2 linked regions of the Alligator mississippiensis genome follow. The protein of the gene in region 1 purifies or fractionates together with the protein of each later gene. This does not show direct contact. Links are inferred from orthologs where the notes say so. Each region holds a gene or a part of one and is shown on either strand. Other genes may lie near its edges.

Region 1 (7,409 bases):
GAAGATGAATTAAAGTGGTGTCTTGAGCATATTCTTCTGGGTTTGGGGCATGGCAGTGACTGTAGGCAGGTGGGGCATGCTTGGGAATGGCTTGGCCAGGACATGCTACTGTGATGGTATAGAGATGGCCTGTTAGTCTCATAGATTCATAGATTCATAGATGTTAGGGTCGGAAGGGACCTCAATAGATCATCGAGTCCGACCCCCTACATAAGCAGGAAAGAGCGCTGGGTCTAGATGACCCCAGCTAGATACTCATCTAACCTCCTCTTGAAAACCCCCAGGGTAGGGGAGAGCACCACCTCCCTTGGGAGCCCGTTCCAGACCTTGGCCTCTTGAACTGTGAAGAAGTTCCTCCTAATGTCCAATCTAAATCTGCTCTCCGCTAGCTTGTGGCCATTGTTTCTTGTAACCCCCGGGGGCACCTTGGTGAATAAATACTCACCAATTCTCAGCCTTAGAGAAAAGGTATCATTCTTATGGATGTAAACTGTGAAGTTGGGTGGGCACTTCCTGCTTTATTTTGCATGCTGAGAGCCTCCATATGTTCTGGAAGATGTTCATAAACTTTCCTCAGTTGTTTTAGTTGGCTCTGGCTAATCACAGACAGTCAAAAGGCCAGTGGCTGAATTGATTCAATCTTCACAGGCTAGTCTAATCTGTGTAGATTGAACTGATAAGCAAGCGAACAAATGTTCACTTTTGATTCTGGAAATGCAGCCACATGCCTGCAGTGGCCCAGGCCAGAAGCCAGAGGGCCTGGGCCACTGGCCCTAAAGCATGCCTCCTTGCTCTGCTGGAAGAGACAGCTTAGGCCAAGGTTAGCTTGCCTTCCCTGCAAGCGGGGGTTTGTAGGGGAGGTGAAAAGCATCCCGGGGAGCTGGGGAACTCTGATTTAACTTGAATTTGGAGAGGATTTGGGACAGAAGTTCAATAAAACAATTTAACCTAAATGAGTTAAGTCATACTAAACTGATGATTTAATTCAGTTAAATCATACTACATCCATCCAAGTTTATCTTAAACTGGTTTCAGCCATTTTGAAAGTGGTTAATGCATACTGAACTTCTGTTGTTACAGATTTGATCCTTTTTCTGATCACTTATACTTGTTTATTTGTAATTTCTGCCCCTAGCCTCTGAGTACGTCCTTCCTATGTTTCAGTCTGAACTGGGTGAATTCCTTTTGACTGGCAAATTCTATTTGTTAATTCTGGGTTTTCCAGTAGCCATTCATGGTATTTTTGTCATTGGGATTTGGGACAATCTAGTGTCTTCTCAGGCATGTAACCTTTTGCAAAGTTCTTCAGTGCAAGATCATTCAAACTATACTTTCACCTTTCTTTCCTTCTCTCATATTTATTTTCAGAGCTTCTACTCTGGGACTTTTAACAGCTCCAATATATCATTCGCGGTATTTTAGCTTGTCTTAGTCCTGGTAGCATAAGATGTTCTGTAATCACTCAGAGCCAAGAGCCTGACAGAAGTGTGCCTCAGTTCTCACTGATCAGAGCCAACACAAAACAAAAAAAATGGTTTCAAATGGCTCTTGGAAAAAACCTTTAAAGGTATAGTTCCCTACACACACAGGGAAAGCTGTTATTTGAATGGAGGCCTACATCCAGCCCCCTTCCCCCCCTCCCTGCCACCGTTTCGGGGCTGGGCCGGGCTGGGCAGGACCCAGTGCCCCTCCCCCCAAAACAGTCAATCGGAATGCAAATAAAGCACGACAGACAGACAGACAGACAGGCTAAGGCTTTTATAATATTAGAATTTCAGCACTGGAAGTTGAATGAGAGGCATAACTGGGAAATGTGATGTAATAAAAAATATGGAAGAAGGTAAGATGTTTTAGTCCTGAATCAAGGTAGATGGAAGATAATGCAGCTATATACGGCTATTGTGTGTTGCAGTAATGGAGTATGAACTACCTGAATTGCATAGCAATGGTCCTAAAATCCGTCCAGTGAGAACAAGCTGTAATGTTGAGGTATCCATTACTACTCACTGAAGGTCAAGATCTCCAGTGTCAGAATCTGTTCCTTCTCTAACCTCAGTAATAACAGATAATGATTTTTAAAGCAGTTAAAAGTTCAGAGGTTTGAAACAACAGACGTGAGATTGTAGCACCAGGACAGGCAGTTTAGAGCTTAAATAGTCTGTTATATAGTACCTCTGTGGTTACTCCTCCTACCCATTTTACCCCTTTCAACTTTGCACTGCCTCTTGCTGCTTGCTTTGACCCCAGGGTGTGGTCTGCAATCCATTTGAGGTCTTGGGTATCTAAGGGTCAGGACTGTAGATATGGTGGCTGTAGCTACTTTCCCCCTAGCAGTCTTTTTCCTTGGTCCGTGTTTCAGGGAGGGATGATTGGTTGAACCTATCAGTTAATTTACAGGTAACATTTACTCCTATGCTGCCATTTGGAAGCTCATCATATTTTCTGCTAATTTATGGTTTAATTTTATTGTTGGCTGCCAGCCAAAAAGCAGTGTCAAAGACTTCTGCAGTCTGGGAAGTGGGTTAGGAGCCATCTGCAGGGGACATAGGGGAAGAGTGGATTCAGTCATGGAAGCCCTCAAGCACTCTAGTGGAAGGGAGAGAATAGAAAATAATTTCAACACTTATTTGCCTTGTCTTATTTTGGGCTTGACATACCTCCAGAAGACCCATGAAGAAGAGATGAATGTTGAAATATGAAGAATAATGGCTTTTGAACCTAAGCTTCATAACAAAATAAACTCCTGATTAAATTCTAACTGTAATTAAAGCAAAAAGCAGAGATGACCAGAGCAGGGTGCAGGGCCCTCCCTCCAGATGCAAGAAAGCTGGTGGCAGATTCGGTTGGGGGGAGGAGGGTCCTAAGCAGCCAGACATGCCAGATTCGGCAGCGGATTTGGTGGTGGCAGGGGGTGTGTGGGGGACAGTGGCAGCGTGGAGTCACTGCTCTGCTGGGCCCCGCAAAGCATGTGACCCAGGGCAGTCACCCTGATTTCCCCCCCCCCCCCCCCCCCCCCCCCCCCCCCCGGACAGCCCTAGCAAAAACACAAGATTTGAACAACCTTAACTATGCCCCAGCATTTGTTAGTAATGTTTCCTTTTCATTAGTTTCCTTCCCTGTTAATCTTTCTCATTAGTTTGAGTGACTAAACATATGTTTGCCTAGTAATGTTGAATCTGCTAGTGTGACAGGAGCAATTCCTGTGTGTATGTAACAGAGTTACAATTTGTGTCAGATCACAAAGATACATAACCCTGTTCTTATGATACTAAGATTACAGCATTATTTTGCTCAGCAAGGAAAAATGCAACTTGGGTGTGTTTCTGTAGTGCGGTGACAGTTGCTAGGAGAAAACGGAAAGGAGAACGAAGGAGTAAATATTAATTTTGCACGCTTGTGAACTGTTTAGAAGCGTTCCTGATTCATAACCATTTGCGTTTGTCCGAAAGGTAGGGTTTCTTATAAAAATGACTGCACACATACGCAGAACTGAGAAATAGCTTTTGTAGTGTATGTACAACTTGTTTTCAAGGAGACCCCCTAGCTCACCCCAGACAGAGGGACATGTGGTTATGTAGGAGTAGAGCTGCAATGCCCAGACTGGCTGGCACTGTGCTGCTAGACTTCCTGGGTGCTACGCCATGCTTTGTCGGGGGACACCATATGCTGGCTGAATGGTGGAAGGAATCGGAGATCTAGAAGTGCTTGGGCAAAGTTAGCCCGCTGGAGTGGTTGTGGGTTTTGCCCCAGCTCAGCCAGCTGCAGAGCAAATGGTCGGTGTGGGCGAGTGGGTTTTGGACTGGGAGGAACAAGCAAGGAAAGGAAGCGCCGGCTTCAAGGCAGGGTCTCCACCCCGCAACCCTCCCGGGGACCCAGCTCAGCGCAGCGGCCCTCACCCCCTCGGCAAGGGCCGACTCCTAGCGGTCCCGCCGGCACTGACTGCAGAGCAGCCCTGCGGCCGCCGACAACCCCAGCAGCTCTCCACAGGGGGTCCCCAGCGTCAGTTCCAGGTTGCTCTGCTGAACCGCAGCCGCCCGGCTCAGTCACCGCCCGGGGAGCCTCCGCCCACGGGCCCCGCTGCCGTGATATAGCGGCGCGGCCGCAGGCGGTACTCCAGTGCTCTCCCCGCCGGGCGCCCCCAGACAGGCAGGAGCCCCGCCCCGCCCCGCCCCCGCCCGCCGGGCCCTGGCGGCCTCCCGAGGGCGGGGCCTCGCCTGCCACTCAGGTTCGGGCCCCGCCCCGCTGGCCGCGCGCCGGGCCGGTTGTAGGCTCGCGCCCCTTGTTGTTGCTCGGAATGTCTGCAGCTGCCGTTGGGGGCGGGGCCGGGGGCGGTGGCCGCCAATCAGGAGCGGCCTCCGCTTCAGTTGCCCGGGGGGGGCCGGGCCCGGCGGCGCGAGGCTGTGTGTCTCAGTTAGGCGGGCGCGCGGGGGCCTCCAGGCGGCGGCCGGTCGCGCGGGGTGGGCCCCGGCTGGGCTGTTGCGGGACGATGGCGCGAGCGGCTCCCGGGTGGCCCCGGGCCCGCCTGTGGCTGGCGGCCGCCCTGCTGCTGCTCCCGGGGGCAGCGGGTGAGTGCTGCGGCCAGGGCTGGAGCGGGGGGGCGGCGCCTTGGGTCCGGCGGCTCCTTTCACCAACATGGCGCGGGGGCCGGGCCGGGCGCTGGCCGCGGGGGAGGTCTATGCTGGCCAGAGCCCGCGGCCTCGTCCCATTGTTGGCCGGGCCGGTGCGGGCTGGGCCGGGCCGGGCCGGGGGGCGGGTCCTGCGGGGGCGGGGCCGGTGGGGCTCCGCTAGTGTCCGCAACCGCAGCGCCGGCGCCTCCGTGCGGGATCGGGCCGGGCCGGGGCAGGCAGGAGCTGTGGCAGGGGCCAAGGGCCGGCCGGGGTGGGGGCGCGCAGCCGCGGCCGTTGTGCTCCGAGTGCGGGGCTGTCCGCGGAGCGGAGCCAAATGCAGCCCGCCGAGCCCGGGCACTCGTTCCGGGCCCCGCGCGCCGCTCGTCTCTCTGCCCTGGAGTTCCCCTGGGGGTAGAAAGTAACTTCGTAGCTCTAGCTCTTGTTCTTGCTCTCTCTTTAACCTGGGGAAACTTCATGACTTCCTTCTTTTGGTTTTTTGTGTATGTGTGTCTCGAGCGCTTTGTGCGAGCCGGAGGCCTCCCTCGCAGTCTGTGTTTTCATCTGGTAAACCTTACGGTTTCCTCACTGAGCCAGAGTCTCACTTTACGCTGAAGCTTGTGCAGCAATAAATGACATAACTAGATCCTGTCTGAAGCTGTCTTGTTCTCATAACTAAAGTTGTTTTGACGAGATGAAGCAGGTATTTTTTTAAAGGGGGGGGCGGGGATGACAAACAATGAAGTAAGAGTGGAGTGAAATACCTGGTTGCTGCTCACTGTCTCAGGCTTGCTACAGGTTTTGAGTAGCTTAACCTTCGGAGCACAGTATCCTTCTGACTTGCGTGGTATGGAGAAAATCTTACGCTGGTGGGGTAATGCTTAGGAAAATCATGTCTAACATTTCTTTTGCTGAACCAGGCAGATTTTGTAAGAGCTGGGGTGTGATGAGGTATAGTGGGACTGGGAGGAATGGGTTATAGTGGGACTGGCTTCCATAACATCTTTGTGTGCTGCACATTTGAAAAGATATAGTGCTCCTTGAAAGCATTTTTACAGATATTTTTCTGAAAAGTGCTGGTACCAGGTTGAATCTGCTTATGATAAGTTAGGACTGATACCTTATCATAAGCAGATTCAACCTGGTACCAGCCCTTATAAAAATCCTACGCTACGCTGAACTGTTAACTGAATTGCCAGTCTGCTTGTATGACAGCCCAAGGGCCACATGCAGCCTCTGAAGAGTAGATACATAGTCCTCAGGCTCCCACCCTTGGGCTCCCTGTTTGCCAGGTTGCTCTGGCTCTTCCCTGCTCTCTCCCCCTTCTGGCTGCTGCCTCCTGCCTTCATCCTAGGGGTATGGCAGTGTGGGGAGCTGAGGGTCAGCTCAGGGTTCAGGGGAGGGAGGGAAGAGTTGGGGATTGCACTTGAGTGGTGCAGAAGGAAGAGGAGGGGGATGTGCATGTTGACGTGGGAAGCAGGTTGCACCCACGTGGCTCAGTAGTTGAAGGGGGCGGGAACTTCTGCATAATATACCTGGTCTGGCCCCCGGGGACCTAGAAGTTGGACAGCCCTGGCACAGGTTGTCCTACATTTATGTAAAACAAAATAATAATTTTGTCTTAACATTCAGTGTCTGTCATTGGATGCCCTTTGTGATAATCAGGGATCCTGGTTTTCCCTGACAAAAAAATCATAAATTCTCCAATAACCCCCTCACCCCCCCCATCCATTATTAAAAAGAAAGCCCATCCCCATCCTCCCTGGCCCTGCTGGTGCCCCCCACCCCCAGCTCCTGCTCCCCCAGCTCTGCTGGAGGCGGGCCCCCAGCTGCCAGAGCTATGGAGCCAGGGACTCGGGTCCACAGCCCTCTGCCCCTTGCAGCAGGTAGTAGTTGTTGCAGTGGAGCGGAGCCTGGTGCACACCTGCTGCCTGCTTGCTTCAGATTTGTGCAGGGGGGGCAGATCCCTGCCACAGTGTGCACTCTGGAGAGGCAGGGGGGGACCCATGGGGCCAGGGCTGCATGCTATGGGCACCCATCCTGCTCCCCTCCCCTGGGACATCTGCAGCCTGGCACATGCGACCTGGCACTGCAAAGAACAGCAAGGCCACTCAGGAAAGCTGCTTGCCACTGCGAGTGCTGTACTGCCCTGGCAATGCATCCTCTGTGCGCAACCCCACGCCGCCACCCCCGCTGCATCCACGTGTACAGGGGACCGCGTTGCCAGGGCAGTGCAGAGCTCGTAACCACAAGCAGCTTTCCTGTGCAGGCTTGCTGTTCTTTGCAGCACCAGGTTGCAGAAGCCCCAGGAGAGGTCATAGGTGCGGAAACCCGCAGCAGGCAGCATGCAGCCCCCACCCTCCACATAGTTCTAGGGGGCACAGGTCCCTCCTGCTCTCCAGGACGGCACACTGCAGTGAGGAGCAGGGACCACCCCCCCCCCCCAGACAGATCTGGTGGGCATGGGTCCCCCTACCCCCCGGGAGTGCATACAGCAGCAGGAAGCTGCCTGCTGGGTGAGCTGCCCGCGGCCCTATTCCGCTCCCTGCCAGGGCTCTGTGGCCGTGCATTACAGCTCCAGGCCCCAAGCCCCAGGTGCTGCCTAGCTGGGCAGCAGCCCCTGCCTTGCTTAACTCCCTCCCTTCTTCCATTTGGGACCATCAATGCTTCCTCCCCCCCACTTACCTGTGGGAGCTGTTCTCCAGGCTGCCTCATGGCCATACGTATATGTATGCACATGGATACCCTGCCTGGCCACCCTCCTCCCGCTCCCCCCAGTCCCTTGCAGGCTGAAAACTTGCCAGC
Region 2 (6,982 bases), on another chromosome or scaffold:
ACCAGGTAAAAAAGATCTGAGGGAGATGCTTCTCCCTGGTGTAAATGGATATGGAGGTAAGGAGCAGATTGCAGTGCAACTCTGCCTTGATATTAGATTACTGCAAGGCGCTTGGTGGGGCTGTGCTGTTCTATAATCTCCCACCGGTGGTCTGGTGGCAGCAGAAGTGTTAGCACAGATTGTCTGTCTGGCGCTCCCGCCACTACGTAGAATAGCTCTGGCGGTGGCAGCAATTCTAGATGACCTGGAACTGGTCTGGGTTAGCACTTCTACCAAGACTGTCATTGGAGACTTAAGATGTGCAAGGTAACCCAGGCTCCCATCACTGGACTTCAGTTTAGCAAGGAATGCAGTTGGCCATATACCAAATGCTGCCTCATTCAGATGGCCTATTCCATGGATGGCTGCCCAGTGTCTCCCAAGACTAGATAGCCTGCTATGCCTACAGGCATCTGGCACTGCCCTCTTATTCATCCATCTCTGCTTACAGTCATGTTGTAGGTAGGTATTTCCACCTTTACTACAGCCAGTTAAACTCCAGCTGCACCAAGTCGAACTCGGTTGAAAGAGGAAATTCATGTGCTCTTCCCTAAATGAGCTAGATTTTTTTTCACTCCATTTCCCTAATGGAAGTACGCATTCATTTGTTCCAACCCTTTCAAATGACAGGAGTTAGTAAATGATCACCAGAAGGCTTCTGCCTGTAATTTGCCAGTGCAGGCAGGTACAGTGATGTACCCATTCAGGGTTATCTTCCCTTACTATAAATGACAATTCAGTGGGTAAGGGGACCTCTCCTCCAACTCTTCCTTTCCAATCCCAAATGAATTACTCTGCCACCTGAACTACACCCTTTTATTGTAATTTGCTTGCCTGGCTGGTTTTCAGCTGTGTGCAAGTGTGACTTATATTAAACATTTTTCAGAGGATAAGTTAAGCCCTAGAGTGGAGTTCAGATGCTTGAAGTATTAGAGAGAAGATCCAGACTTCATGCACTGCTTTATCAGATATACATGATCAATGAAACAAGAAACCACAGCAATACTAGAAAGTCTGAAAGATAAATCTTAAAAAGGAAGGATTTGAATGAATAAAAGCCAAGCAGTGTGCTTTACTTTGCCTATTGCACCTGAACCTGTTATCTAACTTTACAGTCCAAGGTAACTATAAATTTATGGAGTCTTCCTTTCACTGCAGCCAGTAGTCTCCCTGGAAATCGCAGCGTATTTTCCTCCCTGTTCTGCCTGAATGACATCCTATATATAGAGAGAGATTCACAGAGTTGGCTCAGCAAACAGATTGTAACATCTACAGCTATTGTACCTCCAAGTGACAATCCACAGATGAAAATAAGCAGTGAGGAAAATCTGCTATTGGGAGACAAGGCATTAGAAACCAGCATAACATATGTTCTGGAAATCAAACAGCAAGAGTTTGGGGTTAGTCATAAATATCCTTGCCTTGCTTCTCATTCCTGAATATGCTTAAAGTGATAGAACCCTTGGAGTGAAAATGTCAGGCTGCCTGGTTCCCAGTTGAGGTATGAATTAATTAACAAATGCTTTTCCAGACTGTGGAAAGCACTACACACAGGGTTATCAGCTGTGGATTGAAGGGCTAGATAGTGACATTTCATACCATGCATGAAAGAATAGGCAAAGTTCAATAAAATCTGTGGTTTAAAATCCATAGATTCTCTTCCACGTGCAAGACTGGCTGCTTTGAAATCCAGTCTGAATATACTTACAAGAGGAAAACTTGAAACAATTGTGCCTGGCCACTTGGCTGTCCCTGTGGTTCAGACACCTTCACATGCATTTCTGCTTGCCTTGATTTACTTTTTGCTCCAAAAGAGGGGGAGCTTAGAAAGTGTGCTGTCTTAACTTATGTGAGGGGTGAGCCATGCCACTTCCATCTACCAAGCACAGATGATGATCTCAGCTTAAATAGAGTTAGGAGCAAAGCACAACCCAAGCGTACATTACCCTGCTTCCAGTTCAATAAATCAGCCAGGTTGGGGAACTAGGTCATCTCCTTGCCTGCAGAAAAGAAATGCTAACATTTGCGATGCTACCATTTGTGATTTAATAGTATTTACAGAGTCTGTCGGGCTGAGCTACTCTCATGTAGCCCCTCATCTGCTCGCAGTATGTACCTAAATAGCCAGGCGTTTCAGTCTCAGTGCGACTGGGAGCATCAAAATGAGCCTGGCCCAGTGAGTCTAACATTGAATCAAGTGATGGCATGGAGGTGGGATGAGACTAAAACCACTTCTTGAGGGTGGGGTTTTTGGTTGTAGCCACATTGGGCTAAGGACATAGGCAGGCAAGGGTTGGTTTTTTTTTTTAGTAGATGTGTATATATTATACAAGTAATAATTCCCCCCTCAAGAGAGAGGCAAGGTTTTTTGAGTAATGGGATATCTTTTATTAGACCTAATAGAAGATATCACAGCTGTGTACTCAGTTGGTCTAATAGAAGATATCATATCTACTCAAGAAACCTTGCCTACCTCTTGGGGGGTGAACTAGTATTTATATTATGCTGACTATACTGTAATTATCTGGGTGGGAGCCTGAGGTAGGACACAGGGCTCTTTGGAAAGGCCCTGTCCCATCTTCCTCAGCAAAGGGTGATGCTATTGGATCTGCCATTTATATGGGGTCTGATATTAGGAAGCCCTGGACCCTAACGAGGCCGATGGCGTGCAGAGATTCATAAGGGAGGCGAGGCACCGACCTGCACGTCCAGCCCCAGTACCTAAGCATAACAGATATTTTGGGGAGTGATGTAGCCCAGATGGTTTGGGAACGATGCGAGAGTAGACTTGCCGAATCGGTTTGAATCTATTCTGGGAGGTTTCTGGAGTGCCAGCACGCCCGTGACACGCAACGCAAATGTGCCCACCTGCTTGCATATAATAATTATGGATGGCAGGGCACAGACTTTACATGGGGAAGGTGAATTCACACGACTGTCGGACTTTAAAATCTACTGGACTGCTGCGTACCTCAGATTCAACCTCGTATACAGGTAGTCCTCAATGTACAAGGTTTCGAGTTGCAACATTTTGCACTTACGACGTTTATAAATTGACACCGTTTCAACTTTCTGACCTCAGTTTTGACTTCACAGCGCTTGATCAGATGTGATGCCGCACCAGCGAAGAAGTTTGCTGCATCGCCCATCTCCTTGGAGAACACCTGTCCCAGCTTCCTAGGGCACTTCCTTTAAAAAGGCAGCCGAGACTCCCGAGAAGACTCCAGCCGAGAGCCCTTCAAAAAGTCCAACAGACTCGCCTCAGAGAAGTCCTTCCAAATCAATGTGATTGCTATTTACAGTAGAAATACATTAATGTAGCTATAGTACTCATCTATAATTGATTGAGTACAAAAGGCTGGGATGTTTTTGGTGAAAATAAGGTACCGGGCCTTGATTCGGGAACCAATCCCCCATTTATAACATTGTTTCTTATGAGAAAATCAGTTCCGAGTTGCACCGTTTGGACTTAAGATGCTGTTTTCAGTAGCCAGGTGTGTCATAAGACCAGGGACTGCCTGTATAGATTTTACATCCAGAAGGTGTGTGCACACGACGGTCGTGTGTTAAAACCTGGACCGCTGCATACATCAGATTCAACCACAGGTATGCATTTTCATGCACGCCCTATCATTTGTCTCCTGGGGATCGCATCTAATGCCTGCAGCCTCCAGACCAGCCCTGGACGGTGTGCAGACACACCTAGCGGCTGCAGCCTCCTGCAGGCGCGGCCGCCCCGCGTGGGAGCCAAGGGCTTTCTTCAGGGGGCGCAGCTGTCTTCCCGCCGGCGCCTTCCGCTGGCGGCCCCGCCCCTAGGGTGTGGCACCGCCCCCCGCGCGCGCGGACCTCACCAACATGGTGGCGCGCCGGCGTCATGACGTGCGCGGCCTGGGGGCGGGGCGAGCGCGCTGTCCTGGGCCGGGCCGGGCCGGCGTCGAGCGGCGGCGGCGGCGGCTGGGCTGGGCCCGGATGGGGGCGGCGGCCGCGGGGCTGCGATGTCGACCCCGGGGACGCGTCGGAGCGGCTCCAGCATCAAGATCCGGCTGACAGGTAGCGGCAGCGGGGCTGACCGTTATTCCCCCCCCCCCCACCACCACCCCCTTGAGCAGGCCGGGCCTGGGGGGTCTACCCGTCCGCATCGCCGCAGGCCGCAACCTCCCCGCGGGCGGCTCCTGAGGGGGGCCGTGCTGCGGAGTGAACTTCCTCGGGGGCAGTGTCCGGGGGGGGGGGGTCCACGTCCTTTGCTTTCCCTGCCCACGCCGGCGAGGGTGCGTGGCTGGGGGGCGCGCCGGCTCCTCCACGCGAGGCAGCGATCCGCGCGGGGCGAGGCTCCCGGCTTGGCAAGGCAACAGGTGCCTCCTGGAGCATCGCCCTGCCCGGGGGCGCCGTGCCCGGGACGTGGGCGCCCGCGCTTCTCTGCCGGGCGTGTGAAAGGTGGCGGGTTTAATAACGAGTCGGTGGCGGGACTGCCACGCGCCGCACGCGCCTCTGGGCAAAACCCCCCATTCTTCCCGTGGGTTTGGTTGGTCTCGGGACACACCTTGCTTGCCCCGGAGAACTAACGAATGGATTTCTTTTTAAAAAAAAAAAAAAGTATTTTGTGGAGACGGGTTACTCATTTCTTCCCTTGCGAAGCGAGCGCGTGTCGCTTGCTGGGCGCCGGCGCGGTTCTCAACTGGGGCTGGACTCGATCGGCCGAGGTCCCTCCCGGCCCTAACATCGATATAGGTTCGCTCACATACCTGTCTCTGACACAGCAGTGTAGATTTTTTTTTACCGATCGAGAAGGAGCCAAGGGATTGGTGTGTAATGCACCCGCAATCCCCCTCCGAACACGGCAGCGACAGTAAATGGGACCAGAAGTTACTTGTTTTGCCCGTTCCGGTGAATGCTGCGTCAGATGGCTTGTCTCTTCATTTTTGCTTCGTGCCGGCATGAACTTACTTTCATAGTGAAAATCATTTTGTAGAGAGCCGACGGATGTAAGGGCTAGGATTGCTTCTGTGTCCTGTTTCTCGGTAGCAGTCTTTAAAATACATTGAGGAAATATCCGACCTGGTCAGCCACCTCTTTGTTTTTATTAACAGAAATCTCTAGTTGGTGAGTCAACACGTGCAGTATTTTGTCTGCAAAAGAATTGCTTCGAGAGAGAGTTTTCACTTCAGAAACATTAGTAAACGTTTCACTTCTGACTTCCTTGGAAATTTGCTTGTTGGCTGATCTGCTTCAAAGAACTGTAGCTAATATGCCTTTTGTTGTTAAATTCTGTTTTGGTTTTGAGAGATTTGAGCTGAATTATAGTAAACGCAGACCATCTTTTGTTATGATTGACCGCTTACATCACATTTCCTATGACTGAATTTGCAGTTTGTTTTCCCACAATTTTAAACAATCTCTGTTTTGCACTACTGAACATTGCTGTGTAAATACCACTAAGATTGAAGCTGCCTCCAAGAGCCACTCCATAAATGAGATGTGAACATTGGTGTACACTTTCAGTGTTTAAGAAAGTGAACTTTGCTTTGGCACTTTCTAAAAATATTTGCATTGGGGGGTATTTATCTTATCCTGTCCTAAATTCTAGCTGCTGTGACAACAATTAAGAACATAGCTGTAGTTTGGATAGAAGATTTTGGAAGCTACCATGACGCCTAACTATAACTTAAAAAAAAAAAAAAAAAAAAGTAAATCTCAAGTCCATTTTAAAACAAAAAACCTTAGCAGCAACAAATAAGAACCAGTCAGCAGAATAAAATGATCTCACCTCGTACTCGCTTCCTAGATGCTCTCATCTCCCGTCATATGCCAACTTTCCCCCCAAGCCCTGTGCAGATAAGGCTGCCATTGTCATTGCTTCTCGTAATAACCGCGGTGAAAATGCTAATGTAGATAAAGAATACAAAATTGTTATGAGCCCTGTTGTCTTCACTGCTTGGAGCAATTTTGCAATGGTGAAACTTTTTTTTTTTTTTTTAAGTTAGAAAAGTTTCCAACAGGGTTTGTCAGTTTGCGTTTGCAAGCTGTCTGTTCACAATGTCTTGGGGTCAACAGAGGGTTGCATTTGAAAGACCAGAAAACCCTCATATATGTGCAAATAGTGTCCAATCTAACTGATAGGATTCTACCCCTGACACCCTTGCTGTTGGCTAGCGTCACGTGGAGGTGGTCTGTCAGAGGGACGGATTCCAACACAGTATAACATTTTGTTCAAATTTCACAAGCACTTGGAGACCCCAGTGAAAACTGGGGTTTCACGGTGCCAGACAGTAGCAAATAAAGATGGTTTGCACGCGATTTGGGGTAGAGACTGGGATGATAAGACAGATGATGAAGAGTAGGGAAGAGGAAGGTGATGCATATTTTTCATGTGTATAGCTTTACTATTTTTTATGTTTTATAATGAAATTGCTTTTGCCTTTTTCTAACTGCTGCCCAGCCTAGCAGTAACAGTTGAGAAGGCGATTTAAAAATGGAGTAACAACAATCTTATGGGTCAGTTCGGAGGAAAAGGCTTTGTATATGAGAGCCACCATGGAAGAAAACGTAAAGAGCTTTGTGGGAAGAATGGGCAAGTTGGTAGTTAAGGCCACTTTAATTGGCCAAAGAAAGGGAGTTTAAGACAATACTAAAACTCAAAGAAATTAAGAGCCACAGAATTAGGAAGGGCCTTGAGAATTAAGCCTGTAACTTTTTTAAAAATTGATATGAGGGTAGCAGGAGAGATCAGAACAGTATAGTTTTAGTCTTGTACAGACTGAGAAGGTATAGACATTGGGAGTATAGGTAGGAATCCTTGCCATCCTGACATGAGGAAAAGGTTAGATTTAGAAACATTCTGGAGGAACAAGCCTTCAGATTTGGAGGAAACCTAGACTTATTAGATAAAAGGAATCAAAGACAATGCCTAGGCTATAGGACTAATTTTATAGAAAGCTGGTGATGG

The links. The genes of interacting proteins can lie anywhere in the genome.
Region 2: the proteins of TGFBR1 (region 1) and SMURF1 purify together in Homo sapiens (affinity purification with western blotting; 3 studies listed by BioGRID). This does not show direct contact. The link is inferred for Alligator mississippiensis from reciprocal best matches to the Homo sapiens genes TGFBR1 and SMURF1.

The regions. Positions count from the first base shown.
Region 1 is NC_081828.1:81,069,658-81,077,066, forward strand, and holds the start of TGFBR1 (TGF-beta receptor type-1), read left to right. Parts: upstream 1-4,390; 5' UTR 4,391-4,486; coding exon 4,487-4,565; intron 4,566-7,409. UniProt on the Homo sapiens protein: Transmembrane serine/threonine kinase forming with the TGF-beta type II serine/threonine kinase receptor, TGFBR2, the non-promiscuous receptor for the TGF-beta cytokines TGFB1, TGFB2 and TGFB3.
Region 2 is NC_081836.1:53,529,009-53,535,990, reverse strand, and holds the start of SMURF1 (E3 ubiquitin-protein ligase SMURF1), read left to right. Parts: upstream 1-3,965; 5' UTR 3,966-4,034; coding exon 4,035-4,089; intron 4,090-6,982. UniProt on the Homo sapiens protein: E3 ubiquitin-protein ligase that acts as a negative regulator of BMP signaling pathway. Mediates ubiquitination and degradation of SMAD1 and SMAD5, 2 receptor-regulated SMADs specific for the BMP pathway.